Diceros bicornis minor: one gene and its partner. The protein of the gene in region 2 purifies or fractionates together with the protein of the main gene of each other region. This does not show direct contact. Links are inferred from orthologs where the notes say so. Each region holds a gene or a part of one and is shown on either strand. Other genes may lie near its edges.

Region 1 (11,025 bases), on a different chromosome or scaffold from region 2:
ATAATTGAGATCATATTTTCAAAATTAACATTCTTTGGATACCAAAAACTCCAGTTGACTACTTTGTTTATTCATGCACAAAACTACCTCCCGGAGATTAGACTAAGTCCCTTTTAAGAGTTTTAGGCTTCCATTTTGAGATGTTTTGATTTATAGAAAAAAACTGGGGAAAAAATTAGAGGAAGTAGAACAGTTCACTTCTTTTGCAAAACCTGTTAAAAAAAAAAAAAGACAGTTTTAAAATCAAAAAATTCATAGATGTAACACAATCATCTCTTTTTAAACATTTTCTCCAAAACAGAGCACTAGTATTTACTGATTGTACCATGCACTGTGCTAGGTACCATAGAGGCCAAGAAATCCCAGATAAAAGCCAGAGGGCTCAAACTTGTGGCCAGCAGAGGAATTATGTTTGGCTTGCACAGAATTGAACTCTAGCGTTTTACAAATTTTTTTAACTTTTTATTGTGAAATTAATTTATACATAGAGAAAATGTACAAAAATAACAGAGTTCCCAAATACCCTGCCCTCAACTTCCCCAAAGTTAACATCTTACACAAACATAGTACAATTACAGAAACCAGGAAATTATCATTGATACAATGCTGTGAATTAATCTACATGCCTTATTTGAACTTCACCAGTTTTCCAAATAAGTTCTTTCTTGGACCACAATTATTTTTAAATGTTTTAATTAACTACCAACATTTTTAAAAATAAGAGATTTCCCATAACATTCTAGATTCCAAGCTTCTCATGTAAAATCAGAAGATCAGGCAACACTGGGCTTATATTCCTGCACGACAACAATCAACTAGTGCTGAACAGGGGCTGTACCCTTTAGAGAAGGCACGTGCTCTCCAGTCTGGCATCCTGAACAGAGACTGGCTGTCAGTTGCTATTTATCACTAAGCTGGCACTATTGTTTTTCATATAGTGGAATTACAAAGAAAGTGAAATTGTTCTAATACCTGTGTCTATCAAAAGTAACAAAAATGAAAGGTAGGCAAAGAGCAACACATGTTTTAAGAAATATAAGAGCACTATATTTCTTTATGGAGGGAAGAATATTCCTACATGTTAAATATGTAAACAAAGTGTGTTTTTGTTTAAATGAGACACCCACAGTTTTGTTCATTTATATCACCTGTCTGGCCTCTATGCATTTGAGATTACAAACCCCTTACACAGATCCTACATTAAAGAAGCTCTGGTGTGGACACAAGGCACGTTTGTGGAAATTTAGGCAACAGTTATACAATAAACATATAAACATATGCCAAGATGCCAACCCTGGATCAATTCAAACTCTGTCTTAACCATTTCCAACACCTAGACTTCTAAATGCTGCTGGGGAAGATCTGCCACCTTGCAGACTGGGACCAGCAAGACTTCAGACTCTTCCTTGGCTGGCCCTTCGCCATCCCTTAGCAATTTTCCTTATCCCTAGCCCACTGCCCTATGCAACTCTTCTAAACCTTCAATCCTTTCCTCAAATTTCTCCTCCACTACTCCCCATCTCGCTTTCAGTAGATTGCTTGGCCTTCTATTTCTCAAAGAAAAGAGACATCACTGAGCAGTAATCCTTTCACATTCTCAAATCCATGCTTATTTCACTCACAACCTACTTGCTGCCTCAGTTAAAGACACCTGCCCCTTTGCAGGATCCCATCCTCTCTCATCGCCTCTGAAATTTTGTTCTTAAGCCCATCCCCCTCACTTCTTCAACTCTTGCTCTCTACTGGCTCTTTTCCTCCAATATAATGAGCATGCTTAAGTCTGTCTCAGCTTTCAAATGAAAACAAACAAAAAAATCCTCTTTGGCCCCACTTTCCACTGGAGCAACTACCCTGTGTCTCACTTTCTCTTCACAGCCAAGAGAACTAACAAGTGTCTATGGTTAAGGTCTCCCACTACAATTAGCTTTAGCCAGCACCACTTAAAACTACTCTCGATATTAATAACAACAATCTCTTCTTTCCCAAAACCAATGGAAATTTTTGCATCTGACACTGGGGCCCATTTCCTCTTAGAAATGTTCTACTGGCTTGGCTTCTGTGATACCACCCTCTTGGAATTCCTCTTTCCTTTTTAGTGGTTCCCTCTCAGATTGGCTCAAGTCCCCAACCTCTTCTCCTCTTACACTTTCATTTCCGTTGGGCAACCTCCCTTATCCCAGGGTTGTTGTGTGTCTCTACCTTCTTGGGCACTTAGCATATCCATGTCTCTGAGACTGGGGGGTAAGTGTGCCTTTTCTTTCTTCCTCCCCCTAGACTGTGAGCTCCTTCAGAGCAGAACTATGTTTCAGCTCTGTTCCAGCCCTCCCACCCCCAACATCCATCCAGCCTGCCATATAATACAGACACTAAGACTTTTGGTTGAAGAAGTGAACGTTGGCAAACTTGACTGAGCCCCTCCATGACCATAACACTCTCATTTGCATGGTATTAAGGACCTCAATTTCATGTTAACTACAAAGTCTGCTCACTGACGGCTTAATGGAGTCAGACACCTTGGGTTTCCAATACTATTCAGTCTTCCCATACCAGGGGTGTGGCCTTGCTTGGGCAAGTAACTCTCCCTAAGCCTGAGTTTCCTCACTGTCAATGGAGATAATTATGGTAACTGCTTAAGACGGTGAGAATTAAACCTGAAAAACACATGTAAAGTGTTCGACAGGGGTCCTAGCATACTGGTAGGTATTAGCAACACCTACTGTTAGCAATAAATAATAGCAAACAAATTTAACATTATTGTTAGTTACTCTAGCATCGGGCAAATGCCTCTAGCACTTTGCTAACTAGATTAAGAGCACTACAGGGTTTCCATGCTGATCACCAGAGAAACAACCAACAATCTGCTTTCTGCCACCTCTTGGAAACAAACATTCCTTCATTTGTTCACTAAATAAAGATTTTACTGAGTCCTTACCATGCCTAAGCTCTGCTTCAGGCTCTGTCCTGTAGCTTATTTGGCACCCTCAAAGACCAGGTGATACCTCTTGGCAATCGAATTAAACCAATTGTCAAAGCTCTCCCATTCCACTTTCCCATCTCCTATTCCAGTTTCTTTTAAAAGTAAAATGGAAACTGAACACCGGCAGGAAGGCGGACGGAAGGTGAGGGCAGCGCGGGGCGGGGGGCACCCTCCCTCGCCCCGGGCCCCTGCCCTGCGCCCAGCGCCTCCCGGCGGCGGGAGAGCAAAGTCTCGGCGGCGGCGGTGGCGGGGACCGGCCGGAAGAGCGCCGGGAGGGGAGAGGCCCCCGGGCTCGCGGGGGACCCATTCTTTTGCCTGTCCCTGATCGGCTCGAGAGCCAATCTGGGGCCGACCTCGGGGCCCCGGAGCGGCGTTTGGATACGGTGCCACCCCGCTGACGGTCCTCCGCCGCGGGCCCCGCCCGCCCCTCCACAAGGAGCAGCGGACGCGTCCCCTACCCGCGCGGGAGGCGGGGAGCGCTTCACGCACACAGACACACGCGACACACTCACACGCACACTTACTCGCTCACAGCCTCGCAGCAGCCCTCGTCACCAACCTGCTGCCCCGAGGCCGATGCGCGCCAGCAAGGACGTCCTGGCCGAGTCTTCTCGGGTGACACCCGTCACCCCGCCTGTTCGGGAGGGCTAGAATGTCACGCTGCCTTTTGAATGTCTCACCCAGCTCGACCCACCCACCTCCCCACCCCCACCTCCATACACCCGGAGTCCTGTACTCCTCCCAGTGGTTTGCATGTGCGCTGGTGCTTTCCTCTTAGGACTTAGGGGAACTCCAGCGGTAATAACCACATACACTTCCCCTTAATCAATGGCCTGGCAAACCCACTCGGGGATTTCCATGACCCTAAAAGAGTGACTATTTCTTAACCGTGGCGTATCCTCGTGGCATTTACTGAAAGACCTTTGCTTCATTGTTCGTGGGTCAGAGGAAATCTTGATAAGCCGTGTAGAGACGATGATCACTGGTCTGCCTGACCGGAAAAGATCCATCTCCCATGTGATAAAAAGAAAAGACAAGACCAAAACTTTGTGACATCTCTCTGATAATTTTTACTTTCTGTTCTAAACAAGAAAGTAAGGCAGGAATGGAAATGTAGGGGTATGTAAAAAAATCACACATTTTCCTTTTCAGTTTATTTTTACTGTTTTAAAGATTGAGATTACCTTATTAGCTTCCTATATTGAAAGTTGGGGGGGGGCGGTGCGCTTTTTATAACTAAGGTAGAGCTGGCTGTAAAAACAATTCCTCCTTTTAGCCTTTTATCTCACAGGAGGGATCTCTAAGTTATGGTGATATTCTCATGGAAACCTGAAGTCTGAGTCTCACTGCACTGCCATGTTTTCCTCAACATTCTGTAAGCGATGAATTTGAGCAGCTTTATTTCAGGACAGTGCACGCCAGGGTAACGGATTGAGACAGCTCAGGTGATTTTCCTGTCTTCCAGTATATCAAAGGTGATCGGGAACCAAAGGCAGAACCCATAATATTATTCACGAATTCCTCATCCTGTGGAAAAAGGAAGGACGCCCGTTCTATTCAGTACAGTCAGGATGAGCTGGGGTATCTTCTAGGTGGATTTGGCTGCTCACAGCAGTTAGAGTTCCAGCTGGAATTATATCAAGAAGATTATCTATCATGTGGAGATTTCAATCCAATTTTGAACCTGCTAGTTCAAAATTTTATAAACCATTTCCCACTCACCTTTGAGATGATGGAAACCACTTTGTGGTCCTTATACACTTTTGATCAGGTACCTACCAAAAGAATTTTGAAAAATTCGACTTCTCTGCACTTTTTACCTTAACATTAAAACACAAACGCTGTGGTTGCAAAGGAACTACAAAATGTAGACATAGATATTTTAGATTAAAATTGATCTTGCACTGTTTTAAATTATTTCAATGAACTACAAATACCATAGCCATCTGATACCCATGATCATCCATTAAACAATTCATACATCAGCTCATCTTTAATAATTGGAAATATTATATCATTGCCGTTTGTCCTTGAATATTCTACTTCCCCCACAGAATTTTAATATATGTTTAAAATGGACATCTTTATGATCACTCTGGCACATATTTCTGAAACAAATATGTGTATAAATTGAAATTTAATTTTTTTCCTGTGATCATAAGACTCTAAATGTTAAAGAAAAATTTTTCCTTGATTGAATTATCATTGATACTACTTTCATTACTTATTACATGATTGGCCAAAACAATATAAATATGTTATAAATGTTGATAACTACTAAAGATAAAAAGTAAAATTCTATTACAAATGCAATCTTAATGGGAGTTGCACCTTATATTTGAACAGTTTTTTCAAGTATGTGTTCATGAATATTACCTATTACTGGAATATGGTAGGGTTCAGCATAGATTCTGTTCCTTTTTTTCGTTTCTTAAAATTATAAGCACTGAAAAACCTTTTTCACATAAATAAGTAGATAGGCCCAGAAGAAATGTTATTATATCAATTTTTTCACAATTTTTTGAACTTCTGTTTTATAGTCCAAAAACTCATTTACTGATCTTTAATCCAAAAATTTAATTAGTTATCAGTAGACAACTCAATTTGTTGAAATCAGTGACTTGGAAACCACAGGACTTTTGTTACCCAGATAAGGTTGCCAGAATTAGCAAATTAAAATACAGGACACCTAGTTAAATTTAAATTTAAGATAAACAACAGGTAATTTTTTAGTATAAGTATGTCCCTCTCAATAGAGTATTCACTGAATACATTATTCATTGATTATCCGCAATTCAAATTTAACTGGATGTCCTATATTTTATATGGCAACTCTATATCCAGATATTAGAGTCATTCATTTTCTCAACACTAACGCCAATTACTTCTAATTGTCCAGGAAGATTTTACACCCAGGGGCAATACACCATTTTAAAACACAAGATGGGTGAGAGGTGAGCCTGTCTTTTTTAAGAAGAGAGAACAACTGTGAAGAGGTTGGTGAGAAGACAGAACAGGCCTAGCAACCACAACAGCTCTTGTTTTTAGGCAGATCAGTTTTAGGAGCAACTATATGTAGAAATCGAGGATCAGGTGGTTAATTCCCTTAAAACTATTTGCGTTCCCACTTGCCCATTACTAAATCTTTGTAAAGACTTGGTAAGTTCACTCAAAGGAACACATCCCAATTTAAAGACCATGGCCTAGGAAATCCTGAACTGACTAGAACTCCCAAGTTCTTCAAACTAGTAAAGAGAGTTGGGATCAGACCTATGAGGGCCTGGAGTGGATCAATATGTCTCCTTTGCAACATTCTGTAACACAATTATTGATTTTTTTTAAGTAATTTTTTTCCTGTAACAATTCTAAGTTGCATATGAGCAAGGACTGTATATATTTTGTTCACTGCATTATTCTAGTACTAGCAGGGTACCTGCAAATGTAGGCGCTTAATAAATCTTTGTAGATGACTGACAAAAATGGAGTCAATCTATCCACTTCGGCCTTTTCTATTCTAAATCTGCACCCAAATTTTTGATAGTGTAATATACTTTACATTTTCCCTCTGATCCTTTGAATATCCCAAATATTTTATATAAAAACTCCCCTTTTGCTCCCAGCATCCAGCTTATCTAAATATATTTTCTCTCCAAATACTCTTTTACAGGCAGAAGTAAAAGAAATGTTTGAGAAAGTGACAAGGTAGACAGACACATGGCCATCACTATCTCTAGTTTGCCAGTTTTTCTCTCTGTTAATGTGTAAGCAGGGTGTGAGAAGTGTGTGAGATGCTTTTTCATCCCACTCCTGGTTTGGAACTTTGAGAACTCTTAACAGTGGTGTGTTCTCAATATCCTATTATTAAACAATCAACTTTAAAGTATTTTTTAACTTGAAGGTAATCATGATAAAAAATATTCTTTCTCTGGAAGGAATTTCACATAATAATAATGCTGTAACAACTTCAGTTCCAGCCTGATGCTATTTCACTGTAAGTTTTTACATTTTTAATTACAGAAATACATTATCTAGGAATCTAGGACTGAAAGTAAAAGTGAAATCTAACAAAAGAACCATGCTGTTCTGATCCCAAAATAAATGTAAGAATCATTGTCAATGCTAGGAATTTCCTAGTCTGTTGACAACTGCATATCTTACAGATAAAATATGATTAGATCAGCCTTGAACAAGTGCTGATGAATTTACAAAAAAATATCTTTTAGTACAGATGGACTCAATGTTCTCAATGTGGTGAAGTTTGCCCTTATAAATGGTTGGTTACTTTTGATTTCTTTGTTTGACAGTACTTTAATGACATATAATTTACACAGTCTAAACTGCAAATATCTTAAGTGTACAGCTCATGAATTTTAACAAATGTATATACTTGGGTGACCATCAACCAGAGCAAGATCAAGAACATTTTCCATCACACCAGGAAATTTCTTCACGCCTTTTTCCTGTCAGTATCTACCTATATCCCCCATCCTCCAGCCTCAACCACTATTCTGATTTCTATCCCCATAGATTTGGTTCTTGAACTTCATATAAATGAATCACACGATGTGTACCCATAAGGGGCTCTTTCACTCAATATAGTTTTAGTTTTATCCACATTGTAGCATGTATGAGTAGTTCGTTCTTTTTATTGCCAAGTGGTATTCCACTGGATGAATATACCATAGTTTATCTGTTCTCCTGCTGATGGACATTTGGGTTGTTTCCTGGTTTGGTCCCTTGTGAATAGTGAAGCTATGAACATTTCAGTTCAAGCCTTTTTGTGAATCTATGGGTTCATTTCTATTGCGTAAACACCTGGACATGGAATTGCCATTGGGTAGGTGTATGTTTATTTTTATTAGAAACTGCCAAAAACTTTTACAAAGTATTCGCACCATTTTACACTCCCACCGGCAATATATAAGAATTCTAGTTGCTGAACATCCTTCCTAAGACTTAGTATTGTCAACTATTTGAATTTGACCTCTTCTTTTGAATGTGTAGTGCTAGCTCATTATGCTTTTAATTTTTATTTCCCTGGTGATTAATCATGTTGAATATATTTTCATATGCTTTTTAATTATTTAGATATCATCTTTTGTGAAGGACCTTTTCAAATCTTCTGTCCATTTTTAAATTGAATCAATTGACATTTTATTATTGATTTAAGGGCGTTCTTTACATATTCTGGATATGAGTCCTTTGTTATGTGCATTGTGAATACTTTCTCCAAATTGGTGGCCTGCTTTTTGTCTTTATTAACAGTTTCTTTTAATGAATAGAATATTTTAATTCTGATGAAGTCTAATGTAACAATTTTTTTCTTTTATGTATAGTGCATTTTATATCCCATTTAAGAAATCTTTACCTACCCCAAGATCATAAAGATTTTCTTCTATGTTTTCTTTTAGAAGTTTTGTGATACTAGCTTTTACACTTAGGACTATGATTCATCTCAAATTAATGTTTGCATATGATGTGAGTTGAGGACCAAGGTTCATTTTTTTCTCTAAATATTATTCCAACACAATTTATTGAAAAGAATCCCCTCCCCACTTAAGTGCTTTAGTGTCTTTGTCAAAAATCAATTGAACTTATACACGGCAGTTTCTTTCTGGACTCTCTATTCTGTTCTATTAATCTATTTGTCTATCCTTATGCCAGTACCATACTGTGTTTATCACTGTATCTTTACAGTAAGCATTGATATCAGATAGCGTAAGTCCTCTATCTTTGTTCTTTGAAACTGTTTTGGCTATTCTAAGTTTTTTAAATTTTCATATAACTTTTAGAATTGTCTTCTGAATATCTTGTTAAAAGTTGCTGGGAATTTGATTAGCATTACATTTAGTCTATAGATCAATTTGAAAAGTATTAACATTTTAATGTTATTGAGTCTTCTAATCCGTGAGCATGGTATATTCCTCCATCTATTTGTCTTCTTTGTTTTCAGTACAAAGATGTTTCTCATCCTTTTGTTAAGTTTATTCCTATTTCATATTTTTGATGCTATTTTAAATACTATTTTTTAATTTAGATTTTCAATTGTTAATAGTATTTTTAAATTGCACGTTCAGTTATTTGTTGTTAGTATGTAGAAATAAAATTTATTTTAGTGTAAGTGTAGTAGTGTTTTATCCTACTACGTTGCTAAATTCACTTGTAGTCATTTCTTAGATTCTTCTGGATTTTCTTTAGCAAGCTATCAGGTCATCTATAGATAAAAGCAATTATATTTCCTCATTTCCTATTTTTATTCCTTTTTTTTCTTGCTTTATTGTACAACTCAGGACCTCTACTACAATGATGAATAGACTTGGCTAGAGTCAACATTCTTGCTTTACTCCTGACCTTAGGGAAAAAGTGCTGTTAACTATAGATTTCTCATAGATATTCTTTATCAGATTGAGAAAGTTTCTTTCTACTCTTAGTATACCAAGAGTTTTTTAAAATCATAAACGGGAGCTCTATCTATAGAGATGATCAGATAGCTTTTCTTCTTTATTCTGCTAATATGAAGAATTACATTGATTAATTTATGAGTATTAAACCAACTTTGTCTTTCTAAGATAAACTTCACTTTTTCATGATGTAATATCTTTATTACATATTTCTAGATTTAATTTTCTAGTATTTTGGTTAGGATTTTTGTGTTAAGGGTGGAAAAAGAGAGCAATAAGGGGGAAAAATGGAAATAGGATAATTGAGGTACCAAGAGAACACAGAACATCACTAGGACAAAATATTCAGATTTGGTGGAGAAGATAAGAACTAATTAAAAGTCAACAACTTATATTAAACACCGTTACTGTTTAGTGAAGAAAAAAACATGATAAAATATACTTATTATGTTTGATCCCATGACGTATTTCTGTGGTTGTTGTTAGTGCTGTCAAGTCAATTCTGACTCCTAGAGACCCTGTGTACAGCAGAGTGGAACCCTGCCCAGTCTTTTTGTGCCATCCTCTCTCATCTTCCTGTGCTATATCAGACAATGCTCTGCTGCTATTGCTATTCATAGGGTTTTCATGGTCAATTTTTTTGGAAATGGATGGCCAGGTCCTTCTTTCTTGTCTGTCTCAGTCTGGAAGACTCTGCTGAAACCTGTCCACCCTGGGTGATTCTGCTGCTATTTGAAATACCGGTGGCATAGCTTTCAGCATCCCAGCAACACGCAGCCACCACAGTATGACAACTGACAGACGGTGGTGTGGTCCCCTGACCAGGAAGCAAACCTGGGCCACAGCAGTGAGAGCACCGAATCTTAATCACTAGACCACAAGGGCTAGCTGAAGTAAGTATTAGTAGCAAAATTTCAGAGCCATGGGAGCTGTGGTAGTGGCCCAATATTCACATCAGCCAAGAATAATTAGCTGAAGTAGGTCACAGGTGTAAGCAGTTAGCAGCTTTCACAGCATTTGGGGTTTGGTGCATGGGGAGATCAAGCAGGCCAGTTCGTGACTGAAGGCTAAAGAACACTAGGTGTCTGCCCTCGGACCTGACCAATTTTTATAGGAGCCAAACCACATGATTTCTTTGAGGGTGAAAATGTTGGAGCTGACAGTCTCCTGTGCTGGCTAGGAAACATCACTCTCAGACCTGGGGAAGCTTGTTTTGAGCAAAAGAACTGGGCTAAGAAGACTAGAAGAGGTTGCAGGAGAGAGAATATCTAACTAGCTGTTGTGTTTAGGAGGACTCTAGTGTTGACTTGTTTTCCCATTCTCAAGGCTTTCTAGCCTTCCACTGCTGACTCCATGCCTGTGTAGGCTTGAATACATTTCTAAGACCCAGAAGTTTTAAAAAACGAGGTGATCAATTCCAGACGCCTACCTCCTTCATTCTATCATTTTCCCCACTGATAAGGTATAGGAAGAGGAACATAGGGAAATACCAGGATTCTTAGAGCCAAGCAGACTCGCTGTTGTCTGAGGAGAGGGTGTAGGATCACAACCCCTCTCTCAATGGCACTGGGCAAGGCAAGAGAGGCACATAGGGCACAAAATTTAAGGAGGTGCTCAACTCTCAGGGTTGTGAACCCTAGTCTTGGC
Region 2 (11,490 bases):
CCTCATCTGTTGTCATTTCTACCACCTACATGCTGATGATTCCCAAATTTGGACATGCGATCAAGACTTTCTCCACCTAGACATCCCAAAGGTACTTCAAATTCAACACGTCCAAATCCAAATTTATCTTTTTTTAAAAAAAATTAAAATATAGTTGACATATCATGTTAGTTTCAGGTGTACAACACAGCAATTTGACATTTATATGTATGGCAAAATGATTACCACAATAAGCCTAGTAACCATCTGTCATCATACAAAGTTATTACAATATTATTGGCTATATTCCCTATGCTGTACATTACATTCCCAAGACATTTATTTTAGGACTGGAAGTTTGTACCTCTTAATCTCCCATGCCTATTTCACCCAACTCTCCACCTCCCTCCCCTCTGGCAACCACCCCTTTCTTCTCTGTATCTCTGACCCTGTTGCTATTTTGTTTTGTTTGTTTTTTAGATTCCACACATAGGCGAAATCAGACAGTATTTGTCTTTCTCTATCTGACTTATTTCACTTAGCATAATACCCTCTAGGTCCACCCATGTTATCTTCCCCTATCCTTTTCCTCTCATATTCTCAACTCATTTGGGAGTACCACCATCCATCCAACCATGCTATAATCCTGCAACTCATCCCTGACTTTTCTGCTTTCACTCATTTGCCACATCCAATCATCCACCCACCAAGTTCTCCCTGTCTACCCCTTATATTTATCTAATCTGCCCCTTCACTTCATCTCTATTATTAGCATTGCCCTAGTTCAGGTCCCTATCACATCTTGCACAGACTATTAACAATAGACACCTAGCTATACTTCCTCCTTCTCTCCTCTCCAATTTCTCCTTCACACATCTATCAGATCTTTCAATTTTTCAAGAGAAAATGGAAATCTGGAGGGTTATATAAATTCTACTAATATTGAAACGCTGCTAGTTAATTAAAAAAAAAATTTTAAACACTGTGTTCTACCCTGACTTAAAGGATAGAGTTCCTCAACCATGGCAGAATAGTAGAGAAGTTAAGAGCACGGCTCTGAACTCAGACCAACCTCAAATCTTCAAATCCTCCATCTTGAATCTGCCACATACTCCTGTGAGAGCTGGGGCAAGTTATTTAACCTCTCTGATCTTCAAGGTTCCTTATGGATAAAATAATGATCAATACTTACCTCGCAGGACATCTAGAAGACTAAATGGAACACGGTATATGAATGTGACATAATCTCTGATACACAGTAGGTGCTCAATGAATAGCTATTTGAGGGGCTGGCCCGGTGGCATAGCGGTTAAGTGCACATGCTCTGCTGCGGCAGCCTGGGGTTCGGATCCCGGGCACGCACTGATGCACCGCTTGTCAAGCCACACTGTGGCGGTGTCCCATATAAAGTGGAGGAAGATGGGCACGGATGTTAGCCCAGGGCCAATCTCCCTCAGCAAAAAGAGGAGGATTGGCATGGATGTTAGCTCAGGGCTGATCTTCCTCACACACACAAAAAATAAATAAAAAATAAACAAAAAGAAAAAAATAGCTATTTGATAATGGCAGAGTGCTTCATAATATGGATCCTGCCTGCCTCTCCAGTTTAATCTATCACTTCTATCTGTCCCGGAACGTTACGTTCTACTTAAAACTGCTGTTTGTCACTACATTTCTTTATGTTACCTCTGTACTGTTTTCTTTTCTCATACCGCAAGTCCCTATTCATCCTTTAAAATTCAGGACAGTGGTCACCTCCTTCAGGTAGCTTTACCTAAACTCCCCAAAATGAGTTAGTACCCCTCTCCTCTGTCTTTACAGCGCCCCTGTGTATACATTTCACTTTTCTATATACCAGGACTCAACTTCCTAGACATTTCCATTCTGTCCCACTATTCTTCTCAAAGTTACCAATGACCCCCTTATTGCCAAATCTGATACTTTTCAGTCTCCATCTTCTCAGTAGCATGGACACAAGCGACCACTCCTTCCTTGAAATAATCTTTTCTTGTCTTATATGAATATCAACCACACTCTCCTGGCTTTCTTCTCATGTCTGTGGCTATAACTTCTCACTTTTAAAAACTCTTCTACAGTCGCCCTTTTCCCTTCTAGCTCTCAACTTCCTAGGTGAACTCATTCAATCTCACAATTATGTTTCTAGCTCAGATTTCTCTTCTGATCTTCAGACTTGTAGGTCTAATTGTTGATTTGACATTTCCACTTACTAATCTGATTCCACTCTCTTCCTCAACTCCCATACTCAATCCATCACCAAGTCCTATCATTTCTATTTCAAAAATGCATCTGGGGTTCTCCCGTTCCAACTATTTCCACCGCCCTCACCCTAATCTAAATCACCATCATCTCTCAATTACATCAATTCCAAGAGTCTCCTCACTGGCTTCCCTCTTCTCACTTTTGCTCTCCTCAGTCCATACAACAGACAGAGGGATCTTTAAAAAAATGTAACATCAATCTTCAATAGGTCCCCACTACACTTGAGGAAAAAAAACGAGCACTTTACCACCATCTGTAAGACCCTTCATGACCCGGCTCTAGTCCATCTTCCTAACTTCACCTCAGGGCACCCTATGCCTTTTTCCAATTTCCCCAAGTCATCAAGGCTTTACCTGTTTCAGGTCCTTTGCAAATTCTATTCTGCCCAGAATGCTCTTTCTCCAGTTCCGTCACATTCTTCAGGAACCAGTTTAAACGTAAGCTTCCCTGACCATCCTATCTCAAGTAGATTTCCTCTATTATTCTCTCAATACTTGTTTGTCTCCTTCATAGTACTTTCTATAACTTGTAATTATACATTTATTTGTTTTCAACCCTAATGATCTATATTTGAAGCAGGCAAGAATCAGGTATGTTTTGTTCTGTATACCTCGCACTTAGCAGAGTGTCAACTAGACAGTGTTTCAGATGGATGTAAAATTGATTGCACTTATTTTGTGATTTGTAATTACCATTTTACTTCTCTCTTCCTGCGCCACGCCCCCGCAGGAAATTGAGCTCTTCTCAAACTAGGATTCTCTCTTAGTTTTTAATTTTTGAACTATTAAAATCAACTACAGTATCAGCCTCACAGCAGCATGTAATTCATATTTATGAAACTGAACTAAATTCAATCAAAATAATGATGTAAATAAACAACTAGATGGGGCAGGTGAGGAGGAGGAGTACGGTGAAGAAGTGGGAGTTTCCAGGACATGTGGTGGTATACTATTCATTAAGACAGAGAATACAGCAGCAACTGCAAGAGCCTTGGGGGAGGGATGATAAAAAGTTTAATTTTAGACCAAGTGAGGGCTCTCAAGAATATAAAAGTGGATTTCCAGTAGATATTTGGAAATAAGTGCCTAGAGTTGAGAGAGAAGGAAGTCCAAATACGTAGATATTAAATTTAAAATCTTCTAAGGTCATAAACCATCCATGATTCCCCAAGGTTATGAATTTCTGATAGAGCTGTATAAATTGAAGTCATGGAGATGGATAATATCAATGAACTGATAGAAAAAAATAAAGGCCTGGAAGCCACTGTTCACATCTCTGTTGGTATATCCTCCCACTTGTAACCTTTCACTGCCTGTTTTACCAGCTGTAAAATGGGAATGACAATTATTAGAGGCTGCTGTAAAGTTTAAATGGGAACATTGTAAATTGTGTGACACAGCATCTGGAACATAGCAGGCCTAGCTCTCGAAGTTCATGGTTTTACTGGCACAAATCTTGAATAAGACAACACTCATTTATTCTATAGTTGTTATCAATGTCCCAGTCTTATCTCAACTAGAATGTAAAGCAGAGGCTTGATGGTCATTTTTTGTATCTTTCCAGGCCCAAGAACAGTACTTTCCATATGGTAAGTGCTCCATAAATATCTGCTGAATGAGGAAACTAAGGCACAGGTCCCAGTCATATCTAGTTTCCTTCTGCTAATGAGTCATACCAACTGTAATGATGAGTACAGTGTAATAAATCTTACAGGGGAGGGAAATGGGAGAGACTTGAAGTAAATGAACATTTAAAAAGCAGTTGTCTCGTCCAGTTCACAAAGGTGATTTTGTAAAAGTACCACAGTGTTAAGCCAGAACACACTTCTTGTTGAATTTCTACTTTTAATTTCAATTAATATGAAGTAGTTTAGTGGTACTCATATAGGTCTTATATGGCAAAACAAGTAACTAAAAGCAAAGGAAAAAGAGAAACAAGTCATACTGCAACAAAGCCATTCTTTAAGAATACTAAGATTTGTGCATTTCTGCAGTATCTAAGCAGAAGACCATAATTTAGCTTCTGAATATTTTCAACGCTTACTTCTAAATTAACTCTCGGCTACTTGTATTCATGCCCCCCCCTCAATTTAAATATGTGGGCGTTTGCTTACTAGGGGAATTCCAGGTTGTGCTTTCAGCTGTTGAGCTTCCCCCAACCCCCTTTGCAAAAAGTTTCACATATTTCCTCCACTGCTTAGGATCTTTTTATTGGTCCGGCTTTTGCTCCAGGTTGAGCCAGCAGCAAAGGAAATCAGACTCAAGGATGAACCCGAGCCGTCGATCCCTAACAACGCAGCTCCAAGGCGCAGCGGGGGAAAATCACCAGGGCACGGGCGAGGAGTGGGCGAGGAGCTGGCTGCGAAGAAGCGCTCCACTGAGCGAGGTTTCAGAAACCCTGGCCCTGCATGGAGTGATTTAAAACGTCGATTAACAGGTCACCGGGGGATCACTTCCACCAAGGTCCCTCGTATGCAGGGCTCGCTGCGGTCCCGCGACGCCTGGACCTTCCGCTCCTCCGACCCGCAGGCTCCTCGTCCGTCTCGGACTCGGACTCCGGGTTTCCGCTCTCCTGGTCCGCGGGGCTGCAGCCCACCCCCCCGCGCCCGCCCGCCGCGGCGCCTGGGCAAGGTTGTGCTACTCACGTCCTTCTTCACTTCAGTGAGGTCCTCCTCGGTGAGGGACGGCGCGGTGGGCTCCATGGCGGAGGCGGCAGATGGCGCTTCTTCCGGGTCGCGGAGCTCGGGCTGCGCCGCCCCGCCCAGGCTGGGGGCTTCGGCCTCCGGATGAGCGGGGAGACGGGGAGGTGGAGAAAGCCCAGAGGAAGAGGGCTGCCCCTTCGAAGACAGAGGGGATCCGTGGGTCAAACCGTGGCGCTTCCGGCTCTGCCCTTTAGGCCGACGACGCTGCAGACCTACGCGTCCCGACGCGGCGCTTGAGCAGCGCTCCACCTCCGCGCTAGAGCCTCAGGCGCAGGCACCGCCCCTCGGTGGGGCGGGGCCACCAGCAGAGCCCGCCCCATCTCTGCGGCAGCGAATCGGGGCGAGCCCGCGGGCCCAGACTTTCCCCGCCCCCCGGCCAGAGTCTTTCGGGAGTGGCTCCGCCCACAGCCTCCAGGTCGTTTGCATGTGGCCGCGGGTTGGCGTCTCCGAAAGGAATTATTTCCGTGGGTGGGACCGGTCGCTGCTCCGCCACCGGCACTCCCCGCCTTCGCAGACTGCTCGCTGGTGCAGTCCGGTCTCGGCTTGTCTGCACCTTTGAGTTCCTCCTCTTTTCCCAGACCCTGCCCTCCAATTTCCTGTTGCTGTGTTTGCCCACACAAGTTTTTAAATTATTTGGTCATGCACGCGCGCGCGCGCACACACACACACACACCCCCCCCACAAATACACAGCCTAACTACATTACAGAAACTTTGAAAAAGCACCTACAATCCCACCGCTTTAACACCTAGTTTAGCGTCTGCATACTTTTTGGTCACTGTTGATTGTAAACATACATATTTCCTTGTTTATTCATCTGTGTAATGATATATCTACCTCATAGAGCTGCTGTGAGAATTAAATATGTATATGTAAGGTTCTTAGAGGTACTTGGCACACAGTATGCAATCAATTTATTATTTATTATCTTGTCTTACTCAAACATTTATGGAGTCCTTATGAATATGTTCTAGGCATCTTATCCTGTAAGAGTTCTCCCATTTTGTTGGGGGAGACTGAAGGACAGACAATTATTCCCAGAATGGTATTCTAACAGAGGTGTATGCAAAGCAACATGAGTAAATGTGGGTGAGAAGCTTGAACAGAGCCCTGGCCCAACTGTTGTTTGGACAACATGCAAAATAACCGAGATGGTATTTGAAGCTACAAGGTAGATAAAAATGACAAGAGGACCAAAGACAAACTTGGGAACCCCAGCATTTAAGGGAAGGGAAACCAAGAGAATCAGAAAAGAACAGTGTTGCAAAAGCCACACCAATGAAGTTTTGATCACAACACAGGAATTCTGCTTTTAACACTAACATTGCATCATATATTTTTTTCCACCTTGATATGCCACATTTTTTCTGATTGCTTAATCTTCCATCCTTTTGGTACAACCCAATTTACTTAATCATTTGTTCTTTCATTTCACAAATAGTTATTGAATGTCAACTATATGCCAGACTCTGTTCTAGGGGAAACAGCTGTGAACAAAACAGATAAAAATCCCTTTCCTTCTGGAGTTTAAATTCTGGTGTCTTTGTGTTTGGGACAGGGCAGATAGATATTTGAAAAATGTAGTGTAAATTATTTGTTATGTTAGAAGATGATAAATGCTAAAAGGAAATATAATTCAGGGAAGTAGGATGAGGCTGTATGAAGTGGTAAAATTTAAAATATGCTGGTTAATGAAGACCTCACTGAAGAGGGGAGATTTGAGTTACTACTTGATGGAAATGAGGGAATGAGCCATGTGGACATAGGGAGAAAGAACATATGAGTAGACAGAAGAGCCAATGAAAAGCATCCATTGTGACTGGGAAGGAGATGAGGTCCTTGTGTGCCACTGTAAAAATTACTCTGACTTTGCTCTGAGTCATATTGGCTTACTCTGAGTCAGATGGGAAGCCACTGGAGGGTTCTGAGCAGAGAGGAGTGACATGATCCGATTTATGATTTGAAAAGGAGTACTTTCACTGTTGCCTTGAGGGGAAGGAGGATGGAAAAGGGGAGACCAGTTAGGGAGCTATGCCATAATCCAGCCCCAAAGGTGGTGGCTCAGACCAGGGTTGGTAGCAGTGAGGGTAGTGAGAAAATTTTGAAGAGAAGTGGGGAAGTGATTTCATTTCCTTTTAAAAGGATTACTCTGTCTGCTGAGTAGAGAGCAGACTGTAGGTGTAAGGGCGGAAGCAGAGAGCAGCTGGAGACTACCACAGAGATCCAGGCAAAGGTGAGGGTGGCATGATTGTGACAGGGGTGGGAGCAGTGGTGAGCACTCTCCCATAGTTACCTTAAGTTATTCCCAATTTTTCATTGTTATAAAAATTTTTTTCCTCTACATATTCCTCATTCTTTTTTCTTTTGAATTATCATTTGTTTTGCATAAATTCCCAGAAGCAGGAATACAGAGCACAAGGAAATGATGATTTTCTGTCTCTTCATGTATATTTCCATGGGTTGTCTCCAAAGTGTTGGTCCATCCGAGTGTGGGAATGAACTGTTTTGCCATAACCATACCAGCTCTGCTGGTGAAGGAGGGGATTCAGAACCCATCAGAGCAAAGTGATTTGAATGATGCCAATTTGACACACCCGTTTTGATCCAGCCATTATGAGGTTGCTGTTCTATTGTTGTTCTTTTTTTTTTTTGTGAGGAAGATCAGCCTTGAGCTAACATCTATTGCCAATCCTCCTCCTTTTTTTTCCCCCTTTTTCTCCCCAAAGCCCCAGTAGATAGTTGTATGTCATAGTTGCACATCCTTCTAGTTGCTGTATGTGGGACGCTGCCTCAGCATGGCTGGACACGTGATGTGTTGGTGCGCACCCAGGATCCTAATCCGGGCTGCCAGTAGCAGAGAACGTGCACTTAATCGATAAGCCACGGGGCCGGCCCCTATTATTGTTCTTTTTTAAACAAAACATTTCAAACACACTAAACTCTAAGGAAAAAATAATATTACAAACAACCTCTGTTCATTACCAAGATTTAACAAATATTGATACTTTGCCACATTTGCTTCTGCTATGGCTTTTGATTACCAAATATTAATGGGAGACATCTCTGATTCTTGAGCCTTCTTTCATTACCCTTGCTATACATCTGACTATTTCCTTGTTGTTGACCATCATTTCATTACTGATACCTCCAGCCTTCTTGCATCCTCAACATTCATTCCCTTATTTATTTATTCAACTAAAAAGTTAAATGTCTGCTATGTGTCAGAAGTAGGAGTTATGGAATGAGGATCAGGGATTGGGTGGGACTGGTGAGGAGCTTAGGAATTTTTAAAGCTGAAAGTTTAATATTTCATTTTTAAGGCCATGTCTCAATGTTTCCAAGTCAAACTATCTGTATCAAAGTAGCGATATCTGAATGCCACGTACCTAATCAGAGAGCTAGTTCCTGGTAGGCCTTGCAGTTCCCAATCCTGCTTTCTTTCTAGCGCATCGTACTTCCTTCATAAGCAAACTCATTTCCCCTTCTCTGCTAAATCACAGGGTCAGACTGTAATGAAGGTTGGGCATATTTTCAAGAAAATAGCCCTGCCCATTCTCTACCTTGCAATAATTCTCCCTCCCCCCACCTCCGTCCCCACCTCGACTTCTAGGTGCACCATCTCCCTCCTACGGTGAAATATGAGGCATCTGATAAATATGCTGTGAAGGATACAGTTAAGGTGCTACAAACATAAGGCAGCATATCATAGTGGCTAAGAATGAGGACGTTCGGCATCTGACAGACCTAGGCTGGTGTATTAGTTTCCCACGGCTGCCGTAACAAATTACCACAAACTGGGTGGCTTAAAACAAGAGAAATTTATTCTCACAGTTCTGGAGGCTGGAAGTCCAAAATTGGCAGGGCCGTGCTCTCTCTGAAGGCTCTAGGGAAGATCTTTCCTTGCCTCTTCCTAGCTTCTGGTGGCTGCCAGCACTCCTCGGCATTCCTTGGCTGGCGCAGCATAACTCCCATCTCTGCCTCCCTCTCCACCCGGCCTTCTTTTCTGCGTTCCTCCCATGTCTCTGTCTCCAAATTTCCTTCTTCTTATAAGGACACTAATTATTGGGTTTAGGGCCCGCTCTAATCCAGTATGACCTTATCTTAACTTGATTACCTCTGTAAAGACACTATTTTCAAATAAGGTCACATTGCAAGGTTCCAGTGGACGTGAATTTTGGGAAGACACTATTCAACTCGGTACAGTTGGAGTCTAGATTTGCCAGTTATTAGCTGTATGACCTGGGAACAATTAATAAGCATTCAGTAAAGATAGCTATTAGAGGAATGCAGAGGGAGGAAAGAGGAAACCATTTCTGACTGATAAGCCGACATGAAAGAGGTGTATTTAAACTGGGCTGGGGGATTTTAATAGGTGGCGCTTTAACTGCTGTTTAATGATTTATTTAAAACTTCCTGCCAGATACCAAGCATTGTATTGAGCAATGAATTCTATTCCAAGTAATTGTGAATGGTAAATTTCCTGTAAATAGTTAGAGGAAAAAAGTGGCCAGTTCTGAGACAGACACTCCTGGGTTTTAATGGCAAGACAATATGTGGTGGAATTCAGACATTTCAGCTCAGAGACTTTGTGAAGACTCCAGGTGGTGTGGTCCCCAGGAGTGACCACCAGCTTAGGAAGGGAGGACCAGGAGGGTGCAGGGTGGTGAGCGTGGACCTGAGCAAATGCTCTGAGGACATTGGCGAGTGCACCCTAAGAGTAGGACATTGTTGGGGCTGATGGGGGAACCTGAGAGAAGGGACCATTCCCTCTGCCTTCCCCCTAGAAGACTATTGGCTTGGAGAGTGAGGACAGGAATTTGGTATTAAAAGCTTGGATGTTTATGGGACAAGGTACCTCAAACATAGTTGAGGGGAGGCGATATCCCGTATACCAGCAGGAGAATCTTGAGGAAGCTGCTAGATCTTCCAGTTGTACTACTGTCTGGGAAGAAATCATCACTAGCAATTTATTTCATACTCACTCTGATCCAAGCACCTTATGTCTACTGTTGCAATTTAATCCCTATATCAGTTCTTCCAGGTAGGCTTTATCATCCTCACTTTACAGATGAGAAATCTGAGGCTTAGAAAATATGATTTGCCCAAGGTCACTCCTCTACCAAGTACAGAATCAAGATTTCAACTCAGCTCTGTCTGATAACAAGGCCGGTGTTCTCAGTTACTAGCTGTAGACTGAGCTAACTGCTTTAGGACGTAGTGATTCAGAGGAGCTGGGTTACTCCGACACTCCCTGGGGCAAGGCAAGAGGTAGAATGCATTCAGGTCTGTTCTCTGTGCCTGAGGTAGGAAATGGCAAAGCCAGGAAACTTATTATGGGATTTTCCAACTTCCTAAATGCAAAAGAGAACATCCCAAGATTTCAGGAAAGGGAGCTCTCAGGCTCTTGATGGACCCTGAACTGCAGCCTTATAAGAGCATCCTGCCAAGGCGGAGGAGGTCAAGGAATGGACCCCTGCTCCAGGCCTAGCGATGTAAGTGATGGAGCAGGACTCCAAAATGTAGCTTCAACCTAATTAAGCGGAAACCAAAGCTCAGGAATGTAGTAAGAGGACTTAGTGTATAGTGAGTTTCCACAAACTCACTCTCCTCTGGTGGATGAAACGATGATAACAAAACAGCTTCACAGGAATTCAGAGGTTCGTGGTTCTGTTAGATGGTACCTCAGGGGACACAGAAGGAACCTTGTAAATGAGAATGCCTGCTCCTGCTGAAGATCCTTGAGGCATTGTGCGCAACAGTGAGGGGGGCTGAAAACCAGAAGTGGTTAACTAATACAGGTTGCAGAAGGAGGAAGAGGGTGATGCTTGCAAACTCCGTGTTGGGCTCCATCACAGGCATAATTCCGGGAAGGCATATTAAAGGAGTAGCTCATGAATGCTTAGAGCAGCAGGGTGGGGTGATCACTGAGAGACAGCATGGCTTCCTTCAAAATCAGTCATGTCCTTTCCCATGAGTCATGGTTAGAATCAGAGGTTCTCAGTCTGCGCAGCTCATGAAAATCACTTGGAAGCAGATGTTGAAGTCCCACCACAGACAAATTTTTAAAAAATCTCTGGAAGCCTGAGTAGCTGATAGGTTTCCTTTTTCTCACAGTTATTGAGATATAATTCATATACCATACAATTCACCTATTTAAAGTATACAATTCAGTGGTTTTTATTATAGTCACAGAGTTGTGCAACCATCATCACAATCAATTTTAGAATATTTCATCACTCCAAAAAGAAACCTGTGCCCTTTAACCTTCACCTCATTCTTTCCATCTTTCCCAGCCCTAAGGCAACCATTAGTCTACTTTCTGTCTCTATAGATTGGCCTATTCTGGATATTTAATATAAATGAATTGATATAATATATGACCTTCTGTGTCTGGCTTCTTTCACTTAGCATAATGTTTTCAAGGCTCTGAAATGTAGCAGGAATCAGTACTTCATTCCTTTTTATGGCTGAATAATATTCCATTGTATGCCTATGCCACATTTTATTTATGCATTCATAAATTGGTAGGT

What was found.
Region 1: the proteins of BCL10 (region 2) and BIRC3 purify together in Homo sapiens (affinity purification with western blotting; 5 studies listed by BioGRID and IntAct, with this or other methods). This does not show direct contact. The link is inferred for Diceros bicornis minor from reciprocal best matches to the Homo sapiens genes BCL10 and BIRC3.

Annotation. Positions count from the first base shown.
Region 1 is NC_080746.1:32,652,986-32,664,010, forward strand, and holds the start of BIRC3 (baculoviral IAP repeat-containing protein 3), read right to left. Parts: upstream 4,621-11,025; 5' UTR 3,899-4,620; intron 3,612-3,898; 5' UTR 3,537-3,611; exon of another isoform or gene 3,502-3,536; intron 3,044-3,501; exon of another isoform or gene 2,933-3,043; intron 213-2,932; 5' UTR 1-212. UniProt on the Homo sapiens protein: Multi-functional protein which regulates not only caspases and apoptosis, but also modulates inflammatory signaling and immunity, mitogenic kinase signaling and cell proliferation, as well as cell invasion and metastasis.
Region 2 is NC_080743.1:21,669,773-21,681,262, forward strand, and holds the start of BCL10 (B-cell lymphoma/leukemia 10), read right to left. Parts: upstream 5,218-11,490; 5' UTR 4,961-5,217; coding exon 4,904-4,960; intron 1-4,903. UniProt on the Homo sapiens protein: Plays a key role in both adaptive and innate immune signaling by bridging CARD domain-containing proteins to immune activation.